Saccharomyces cerevisiae S288C: one gene and its partners. The protein of the gene in region 2 purifies or fractionates together with the protein of the main gene of each other region. This does not show direct contact. Each region holds a gene or a part of one and is shown on either strand. Other genes may lie near its edges.

The links.
Region 1: the proteins of ATG23 (region 2) and SDS24 purify together in Saccharomyces cerevisiae (affinity purification with mass spectrometry, with the first as the bait; one large-scale study listed by BioGRID). This does not show direct contact.
Region 3: the proteins of ATG23 (region 2) and YIP3 purify together in Saccharomyces cerevisiae (affinity purification with mass spectrometry, with the first as the bait; one large-scale study listed by BioGRID). This does not show direct contact.

The regions. Positions count from the first base shown.
Region 1 is NC_001134.8:649,462-653,221, reverse strand, and holds SDS24 (Sds24p), read right to left. Parts: upstream 1,808-3,760; coding exon 224-1,807; downstream 1-223. Other genes in the region: bifunctional precorrin-2 dehydrogenase/sirohydrochlorin ferrochelatase MET8, read right to left, coding at 2,030-2,854; NGR1 (Ngr1p), read right to left, coding at 3,318-3,760. UniProt on the Saccharomyces cerevisiae protein: Involved in DNA replication and cell separation during budding.
Region 2 is NC_001144.5:999,944-1,003,703, forward strand, and holds ATG23 (Atg23p), read right to left. Parts: upstream 1,761-3,760; coding exon 399-1,760; downstream 1-398. Other genes in the region: DNA/RNA helicase SEN1, read left to right, coding at 1-186; IMP dehydrogenase IMD3, read left to right, coding at 2,614-3,760. UniProt on the Saccharomyces cerevisiae protein: Required for cytoplasm to vacuole transport (Cvt) vesicle formation and efficient autophagy. Plays a role in ATG protein retrieval from the pre-autophagosomal structure (PAS) and is especially required for autophagy-dependent cycling of ATG9.
Region 3 is NC_001146.8:543,237-546,444, reverse strand, and holds YIP3 (Yip3p), read right to left. Parts: upstream 1,178-3,208; coding exon 1,154-1,177; intron 1,075-1,153; coding exon 568-1,074; downstream 1-567. Other genes in the region: LAP2 (bifunctional aminopeptidase/epoxide hydrolase), read right to left, coding at 1,467-3,208.

The DNA of each region.
Region 1 (3,760 bases), on a different chromosome or scaffold from region 2:
AGAAAAAAAGATATACATATACGCGACAATAGCAAAAGTCAGAGTTTAATAAGTTGAATATACAAAATAGAATATATAAATGTTTTCAGAACAAGTATATACGCTTAAATGTCTACAAAATACTTAAAACCATATAAATGAACAATATTTTCTTTTAGTCATTGTAAAAGATTTTTTTTTTTGAGGGAGAGGGAAACAGCGGGAAAAGACAACGCTGCAAGCCTCACATGGCGATACTGCCTCTCTGTCTTCTTGCGGATTGCGGATCCACTTCTTTATTCCCTGTTTGTTTCCTTGCTAATAAGTTGATGATGTCTGTCAATGAGACCACACCGATCAACTTACCCGTTCTATATTCCTTTTCGAATAGGTTTGGTGTGTTTGTTGAGGAAGCGGGACTTGGTGGTGGGATCGCGATGGCCGAAGAACGTGGGGATGGTGGGTCTTCCATTGCTGTCATCAACGGAGAGTGGGAGTTGAGGGATGTTGAAGAGGATGACTTTGACATTGGAGTCGCACCATTAGCAGACGATTGAGCGGTGGCAGAAACTGCATTGGCTGCAGTATTAGCAGCTGTTAAATTTGTGGATGACGCCGAGGTTGACGACTCCGGCGGTTGTACGATCCATAGTCTATGAGACTTTGTAGCAACTAACTTGGCAAGAGTCCTTGCTAGTGAACTACTGGGGTATACGTGAAAAATGGGGAAAGAATCTTTACCCGTTTCTAATCCTCTGGAGTTTAAAATGACAGAAATGAAATGGCGACATGTCTTATGTAGTAAGGGGTATTGGGAGGTTCTTGTGACATGTTTTACGTCCGTTACCGATATGTTACCTAGCAAATTACCTTGTTTGTCGATGACTGCAATGGAAGAAATTCTTTCCACATGCATTTTATAAAGGCCCATGATTAAGGGCTCCTCGCCTTGAATAGAGATGACACGGGATTGTCTTGAAGTTGGCTTAGATTGAATATTGAGAACACCGATGTGCAAATCTTGTAATGAGGAGTTTAATAGAGGTTCTAAGCTTGTAAAAGATCTAGCGTTGTCCCAAAGATACTTTATCAAACGACGTTGGGACAAAATACCTTTAACTTTGGTCATCTCTTCGTTTGTTATCGCTACACGATGGACACCCGAACCGAGAATCCCCATCACCGTGGACAAACTCTCATTCTCCGGCAGCTTATAGAACGGATTCTTAGGAGTTAGTTTCACCATTTCGCCCACTGGTACGGGTTTTCCATTCTGGCAATCTGCAGTAAGCTGTTTGTTGCTGACGGTGATTTTATTCAAAACCAGCAAAAGGTACGAATTAAGGTCATTGTAGTCGAAAGTAAAACAGTTCATGTCGCCGGGGAAAGATTCCACGGGAATAGAGTTTAGATGATACTTGATCAAAGTGTTGAATGCCTCCTCTACCGATATGGAACCTGGAACAAAAATAAGCTTATTCTGTTCGATCAATTGCGACAACGGTATGTGTTGCCATTTTTGGGCGTGCACACATGACAGACACTGCGATGGCGTCTGGGTCATAGGAACAGCTGATAGTTTGAATTGAGGCTTTTCATCGCGCAAGGGGGCGGGTGTAGCAGCACAACCTGGACCAGGCGCTGCCGCTGTTGCTGTTGGCGGCGTGGACTCTTCTGGTTGTTCCTTGTCGTCTGTATCGTTCACTTGAACGTGGGGCAGCAATGGCGGAGTAGACAGCATCTCCACAATGGATGCATGTCTAGAAGTTGGAAGGTTGTTGGAAGAATTGCTTTGGCTTGGAGGGAACGTGTTCGAAGTAGAAGCCATGTTGTGTGAAGGAAGAAACGGTAATTGTTCTATAAGTGTTTATAGTTATTATAGTTGGGTTGTGTGCCTGATCTTGCCTGATAAGATAGAAGAAAAGTTGATCTGAACAGGCATTGTTGTTCGTTCTCCAACCCCTATATATGCGAAATATATACAAAATCCCAGTAGATTTTCTCTACACAATAGAAAGGACGCGCCCCTTAAAAGAGGAGGCCCTGTCGCTCAAGACGAGCAGTACTCGCTAAGCAACCGTTCTCTGGGAGGGAACTGCAAGGAACAGTTCTGTTCTTGAAACATGACCTTGAAAAGATCCAGCAGACGTTTTACGTCGATGTTGTGGCAGTGCTGAATGCCGAAGAGGTCTGTGCAGCGTCTGGCCCAATCCATGCGGTACTTGACATCCTTGTCGTCTGGTGCCAGCAGCCTAATTCCTCTTCTCAGCTCACCTAGTTTGACGACAGCGTCCTCCAGCGCCAGATCCCCCATTTGTGTGAATAAGTTACGGATCTCATCTCTTACTAGAGCGCCAAAGCGCGGAGAAAGGCCGTTGGTAGAGATCAGAATCTGTAGACGGTCTCCTATCTCCAGGTTGGCGCCGAAATAAAAGTCACAGAGATCAGGTTTGTCCGCCACATTGACCAGCTGCTGCTTACCGAATCTTTCCTTACAAAGGTGATATATTCTTGCGCTTTCAGGGTGGTCGGGTATACAGGTCATTATTATGTACCACGCGTCGTTCTCGTCTTCTAGGTCGAGGTATTCGTCTTTGAAGTCACTGCGGATGTACTCGTAAATTTCATTCTTCGTGGGGTCCCAGTTCGGATTGATAAAGCGTTTAGCGTCTTCTCTGTAGTCGGGCTGATCCTCGTTCTGGATGAATTTTCCAAACTTCGGAATAATGGATTTGTGTAGGTCAGGAGATACTAAAGTCAGCTTGCAACCTGTAGGTATCAGCTTATATAACCTTGTCAAGCCGACTTCTCCGCCTCCGATTAGTAGTATTTTCTTGTCTTTTAATTGATGGGCTAGCTGTAGCGATTTGACCATTTTTTATCCTATTATACACTCTCTTATTTTGCACACTTCATGAACAATGTATGGCAAAAATGTCTGGCACAGCCTTTTATTGAAGTAAATGTATATATATATATATGTGTGTGTGTGTGTCCATCATTTACATGCTACTGCCCGTAGTCATCGGACTTTGTAGCGATTTTCACATTTTTTTTCCGTCAGCATGGCTATTATAACACGTGAAATTATGACGCCAGCTTTTCGCATATATAGTTAATATAAAACACTTTGAAACGGAACTGTTTGAGTAAATAAATGTACTTAGATAGATAAAAATAGATAGGTAGTATAGAGGAAAAACAAATTTGATTAGAATTATGGATCGACAATTGACTAGGTTGTAACTGAAATGGCATTAATAGAAGAAACGTAAGAACGTAGAGACGCAGATAAAACTGCGGACAAGATTAAAATTTTCTTTTTTTGTCTTTTGTAATCAATGTAGAAGAGAAGGATGAATTGGCGGAACATTGTTCCTATTAGGATGCTTGTTCATGATGCTCGATTTCGAATTATTGGAATTCGGGGCTATATTTAAGGGAGGAGTCATCATCCTGGACACGTCATACATATTTGCACCGTTTCCCATTCCGTATGGTACTGGATTTACGTTCATGTTCATGTTCATGTTAGAATTCATGATCATGTTTGTGTTAGGGTTTGTGTTCATGCTTGAGGCCGTTTTATTGCTGTTGCCATTGGGCAGTTGCATAGAAATTGACATCGCGTTCCCAAATTGAGGTAAGTTATTAGTAGCATTGGAGAATTGGTTGCCCGTCGGATGGAGCGAGTATGAGGGACTTGAATATTGGTGTGGGTACAGTGCACCGTCTTCTTGCATATACGGGACATTAGATCTCTGCAGATTAACGAGGTCGC
Region 2 (3,760 bases):
CCCGCCCATCCGCAAGACAGCTATCCTGCTGAGGCAGAAGATCCATATGATTTAAACCCCCATCCGCAACCACAATCTTCAGCATTCAAAGGACCTGGTAGTGGGCCCACAGGCACACGCAACAGTTCGAGACGGAATGCTTCATCTAGCCCATTTATCCCAAAAAAAAGAAAGCCTAGATCATGATCTTGAAGTAAAAGTGTTAGGAATTATACCTGCATATATATTGGTGTATACATTTATATTGAATTTAATAGCAACATTATTTTTCATTATTTTTCATTATTTCAGCAAAAAGAACATTTTTTTTCAATTTGACGTGAAAGAGTTTGACTATTACGTGGGCATACAATGTTTAAATTTACATTATCCTCATGGCTACTCTAGCTATTTGCATTTCATTCAACTTTTTTTGATATGGCATCATTTTTATTAGCGTTTACTACACTTTCAGAAATGCCAATCTTTGGTGGCGATTTGCTAGCAACCAAGAATGAGGGAGTCGAGGGCTGTTTTAAATTTGAACTCGCGTTCGACCCTTTATGGCTTTTGTGTATATCAATTGGTTTAGAAGGTAGTGCGCTTGACCCATCTTGTGCAGTGGTACTTTCGCTATGGAGTTCTTCACAAGCTTTCGAAAGTACGTCCCTTTCGTTTGATATTAAAGTTGTCGTGAGCTTTTCATCAGAAGAGTCAAGAAGGTTATTTAGGTACTGTATTGTAGAATTGATCATTTCTGACATTTCATTTGGAGGTATTTTGGAGTTGCTGCTGCTCCGAAGTTTGGTTATTAATTTGCTTTCCAAATCTCCTACTTTTTTTTGACAATCTAGCCATAATTCACGTTGCGTTAGTACTGTAGAAGACTCATTTTTATTTCTCATTAGTTGCTCTTGTAGATCTTCAATTTTCAGTTCTATGAGATCCTTCATATGAACAAAATTTTTCATGTTGATAGTTTGTCTCTCATTGTAATCTTCATCCGCGCTGGACAGCCTTAAATTGAATATCTTTTCTGATAGTGATTTTTCCTGTGTCAGGGGCGACTCGAATCCTATTCTTTTCATTAATTGATGCTTAGATTCCTCTATCTTGGACAAATGAAAATCAATATTACCCATTTCGGAACGTATCCGTCCAGATTGCCTTTTTAACTCCTCTTCAATGAATTTATTGTCCTTTTTGAAGTCTCTTAATAAAGTTTCCAGCCTTATTATTTCTGATTTAGCTTGCTTATGAGATAATTGTAACAGTTTGTAATTACGTATCATTTGATCCGCAGAAGATTCAGCGTTCTGTACTTCCTCGATCATTGCATCCGAATCATCCGTATTGGATAGTATTGTATTTTCTGCCCCCACTGACTCGATATATTTGTTTAGTGATGTCCGGTGGTGCGATGAAATGGTAATTATGGCGTCCTTATCGATAACATAGTCCGCCGGCGCAGCATCGGTTTCTTGCTTAATATGCCACGACTTCCGCTCTTTCCAAAGAAGCTGCTCTCTTTCGTTCAGTTCTAGTAGCTCTTGTTTGTCTCGAAGTAAGGACCCAATTTCTCTTTTCAATAGACCATCATGGGATACTAAGAGATCATTAATTCTGCATAGATCGTTTAAGCAAATAGTGATATCCTTCCGGATGCTTGTCACCTGGGAAGCCGAATTTACATCAGACAACGCTTTTTCGTGAAGCCCGACCAGAGTGCCTAAGTATTGCAGAATCTGCTCCTTTTTTTCTAAAACCTGATTCAGTTCCATATTTACTTCTTCACTTTATTTTGTTACCTTATAGAACAACGAGGTTAAAATGTGGAACAAGAAAACGAAAATAATCACTTGAACTAAAACGTACTCTATCCTTCACTTTTCCATTCCTTAGCCGGTTCTCCAATAGATATATACAGACGTTCTCTGTGTTCTATTATTTGTATATGATTTACACTATAAAAAGACTATCTATACCTTTTGTTAATTGCGCACCTAAACGCCAGAGCTTACGCCCTTAAATTTTTTGAACATATGCGCTGATACCCTACAAGTTGTCCTAGGGCTAGGATATCGGGAAAAAAGAGACAAGGGAACTTGAAAAACCATAATTCCCAATACATAAACCTGTTACTTGATGGCTAACAAGATGTACTTTTTTCCAGTGACCCAGTGGCTTCTTTAACCACTATTGTGTTCATTTCTAACTCTGGTTAATTACATAAATATTAGCCTTCAAAGCCGCACACGTTTCTTTTTCCGAAAAATGAAAAATTTTTCACTGAAAAAAAAAAAAAAAAAAAGAAGAAATAGAAAGGTATAAATAGTTGAATAATTTGCCCTTCCGAGATCCAACAAGATTTTTGAGTGTTGGGACCCTTGGAGGTTTACTCCAGTTTCGTGGGCTTGTGCATTTTCACCTAGTGTACTGGGAACTTTCTCTTTTTTACTCTATTTCTTTTCTTTCTTGCTTCTATATAACTTAACTTAGAAAGACTTTCTAAACTCGCAGAAAAGCACGTCATCTCATCTGTCTCACTTTTATTCTAAGGAAAAGAAGTCATCGACAGGTTAACAGCAGTAAATATTATCAGTGCAATTAATAACTCCGAAAGTAGTAAAAGCAATGGCCGCCGTTAGAGACTACAAGACTGCCTTGGAATTCGCCAAGAGCTTACCAAGACTAGATGGTTTGTCTGTCCAGGAGTTGATGGACTCCAAGACCAGAGGTGGGTTGACTTATAACGACTTTTTGGTTTTGCCAGGTCTGGTTGATTTCCCATCTTCTGAAGTTAGCCTACAAACTAAGTTGACAAGGAATATCACTTTGAACACCCCATTCGTTTCCTCTCCAATGGACACCGTGACAGAATCAGAAATGGCCATCTTCATGGCTTTGTTGGGTGGTATCGGTTTTATTCACCACAACTGTACCCCAGAGGACCAAGCTGACATGGTCAGAAGAGTCAAGAACTATGAAAATGGGTTTATTAACAACCCTATAGTGATTTCCCCAACTACTACTGTGGGTGAAGCTAAGAGTATGAAGGAAAGATTTGGATTTTCCGGTTTCCCCGTTACAGAAGATGGTAAAAGAAACGGAAAATTGATGGGTATCGTCACTTCTCGTGATATTCAGTTCGTTGAAGACAACTCTTTGCTTGTTCAAGATGTTATGACCAAAAACCCTGTCACCGGTGCACAAGGTATTACATTGTCTGAAGGTAATGAAATTTTAAAGAAGATTAAAAAGGGTAAGCTATTGATTGTTGACGACAATGGTAACTTAGTTTCTATGCTTTCCAGAACTGATTTAATGAAAAATCAGAACTATCCATTGGCTTCTAAATCTGCCACCACCAAGCAACTGTTATGTGGTGCTGCTATCGGTACTATCGATGCTGATAAGGAAAGGTTAAGACTATTAGTCGAAGCAGGTTTGGATGTTGTTATCTTAGATTCCTCTCAAGGTAACTCTATTTTCCAATTGAACATGATCAAATGGATTAAAGAAACTTTCCCAGATTTGGAAATCATTGCTGGTAACGTTGCCACCAGAGAACAAGCTGCTAACTTGATTGCTGCCGGTGCCGATGGTTTAAGAATTGGTATGGGTTCAGGCTCTATTTGTATCACTCAAGAAGTTATGGCCTGTGGTAGACCACAAGGTACAGCCGTCTACAACGTGTGTGAATTTGCTAACCAATTCGGTATTCCATGTATGGCTGATGGTGGTGTTCAAAACATTGGTCATATTACCAAAGCTTTGGCTC
Region 3 (3,208 bases), on a different chromosome or scaffold from region 2:
ATGCAGGGGTATTTCATTTTGAAGTGTAGTAGAGGTCTTCTAATGAAAACTCGGCAGGGCCCTAAGCTCAAACTCTACCTCATCTACGTTGACCCTTTTTACCTTCTAGATGCCATCAGTTGTTAATAGTAGTAATGGAATACGATTTGCCAATCAATCTTACAATCGCATATAATTCGTCACTGTTGAATATCTGCGACGTACACCATCTAATCACTTCGCTTAGTCGATATAACCATTTGTTTGAAAAGATGAATTGATTCTAATCTTGCCTCTCTCGGGTTATGTTATTATTATTTTTACGTTTTGGCACGTGAATCTTCAGTAATTGATTGCACGCTTGATAAACGAAAAAAACATAAACAAATAAGGTAAGACTGCATTGTAAATCCTAGGAATGAGAAAGAACAGAGAAGCTAACTGCAATTATGAATGGTGTCTGTATACAATTAAATACTAATGTTGACGGAGAAAGAGAATAAAAGACAAGAATTAACTAAATATTGAAGAAGAGTAAAATACACAATAGAAAAGAATGACTCCTTTTCCCAACACTTGTAGGAGTGTTCAAACAGTTTCTTCATCAAATACAGTTTCGATGGGTTTTTCCATCAATGATGCATGTCCGAAAACGCTGACGGCAGAAGCACCGATCAACCATAGCAAAGTTGAGATTGGCGAAGCTAAGAAACCTATTGGCACAGCAACACAAACCAGTCCGGTGTATAGTTGGTTGGTCTTGAAAGAACCAAATGGAGTTACGAGCTCCTCACCCTTTAGTTTGTTTATACCAACAATACCAGCTACGACTAGAACAATAACAAAGAGTAGCAACAAGTTTGTTAATAATGTGTAAATGCTCAAACAACCAATAATCAAACCATAGTTACTGGAAAAGTACTTCAGGTTATACGCCACTCTGGATTGAACTTCCCCAAAGTTTTGAGGTTTGGAAATTTTCTTGAAATTGAAAAATTCTTGCGGGGTGCGAAGGGTTGCTAATTTAGATTGCAAGGATTGGAACTCGCTCTTAATATTTTCCATGGAGAAGTTTTGAGTGAAACGTGAAACTTGCTATAGAAATATAGAAAAAAGGTTAACGCGTTAGTATAGTTTTTCAATGATGCAAATGTGTTTACAATTTAGAACTTACGGCTAAAGCTCCTAACTGATTCATTATTGGAGTATTTGATGTTATTTTATGCGTATTTGACGGCTGATAGTTCCAAACTCAGTGTTCAAAGCCCTGCAATATTGAATTCAATCTGAATTCTTTCGATTTGTATTTATATTCGTTGTTATTATTTATTTTTTCTTTTTGCCTCGATTGCATGTGACAAAAGTGCAAAATTCGTATCGCACGACACAGAACTCCGCCACTAATTAGAACCAGAGAAGTAGCAATGAAGGCTCATTAGTAGGTTATATTTAATTGTTTACGTATTCATGTTACGACACGTCCCTTTTCAAAGACCTAAATCTTGTTTCACAAGAGCTTTACAGATTGGATGATACGTGTCCTTGAATTTGTCGAAAGTTGCAAGTGCCAATCGACGGTCTACAGAGTTTAATAGTCTGTAACCGGGACGGACAAACTTCATTCTACCTACAGTTCCCAACCAATCGGCCAAATGCTTATATTCTTCTTGCAGCTTGGCAAAGATCTGAAATTTGAACATCTTGAAAACAACTTCCGCGTTCTGTGATTTAACAATGTTATCTTGATAGATATCTAACAGTGCCCTAGATGCCACGGGAAACTTGGCCCAGTCAAAATCTTTTGGTTTCTTGTTGGAATGGCCATTTTGTGTCAAAGTTTCCAAGAACAAAACCAATTGATTTGAATTAAAATCCTTAATGTCAATAGCGTTAAATTCAGACCGGAAATCCTCTGTGGTTTTCAAATGTTGAGCCATTTCGACCCACTTGTCAGCCAATTGATAAACATTATCAGCCAAAGCCGTAATAAAATGAGGCCTTGGTGGCATACCTGGTTTATACAGCCAAGTTTCCCAGTCAACGGAATCCAAAATTTCTTTCTTTTCGGGATAGAACTCATACAAAGTATCCAAAAACTGGAAAGTATCCAATGATTTTTTGGCAAACTTCTTGAAATAGTGTCTAATAAATGGATCAAATTCAGCCTTACCACCCAAAATAGTTTCCAAGTGAAATAGTAAGTTGAACCCCTTTTCGTACGGAACAGTGGAAAAGGCATCGTCAGGGTCAGTGTTATCGTTCAAGTTTTGTACCAAAGTGGAAAATCTTTCAGGATCTTTCATAGAATCAATAGAATTCTGCAAATCGCTCCAACCAATCAGAGCACTGAAATGTCTAGTTGGTTCGCCATGAATGGCACCAATAATTCTTCTTTCTAAGTAAACGGTCCAACCTTCATTCAACCAAAAATGATTCCACGAACAATTGGTCACTAAGTTACCAGACCATGAGTGAGCAAGTTCATGGGCGATGACATCAATGTTGGATCTGTCATGTGCAATCAAGGTGGGCGTAGCAAAAGTCATATTCGGAGACTCCATACCGCCGTAAGGGTACGAATCGACGTTAACTAAGATATCATAAGTGCCCCACTCGTATTCAAAGATAATTTTCTCTGCAGTTTGAATGAATTTCTCTACATCGTTTTCAAATTCCCATTGACAATCTTTCAAACGAAATGGTTCAGTGTAAACTGTGGAACGAGGTCCAATTGGAGCGCTTGACAAATCACCGGAAGCAATACCGATCAGGTAGGCTGGGATAGGGACTTTCTGTTCAAATCTGTAAATATTAGTATCCTTGCTTGTATCTTCAATCCTGATGCCTGAAAAAACCACTGGTAGTGGGGACTCGATAGATGCAGTGAAAGTAGACTTCACAGAGGGAGTATCAAAGCAGGGGAACAAAGACCTCGCATGAATAGCTTCCAACTGTGAAAACACGTACGGTTTACCGCCCTTGGTTTGCTTGCTGTTCAACCATTGCAAAGCGGTGCACTTGTCAGTCGTACGAAATTGAATATTCAAGGTAAAGTTATCGTTGCAAGAAGCGTTATTGATGACTAACCTGGAGCCCAATGGCTCCTTTCTTTGCTCAATTTGAAAATCTGCCTTGGAACCATCAATATGAACCTCCTGGACATCCAAATAGGATGTATCCAGATGTAATTCATCCGATTTATTTTTACCTTCGTGCAGTTTTTTCAATT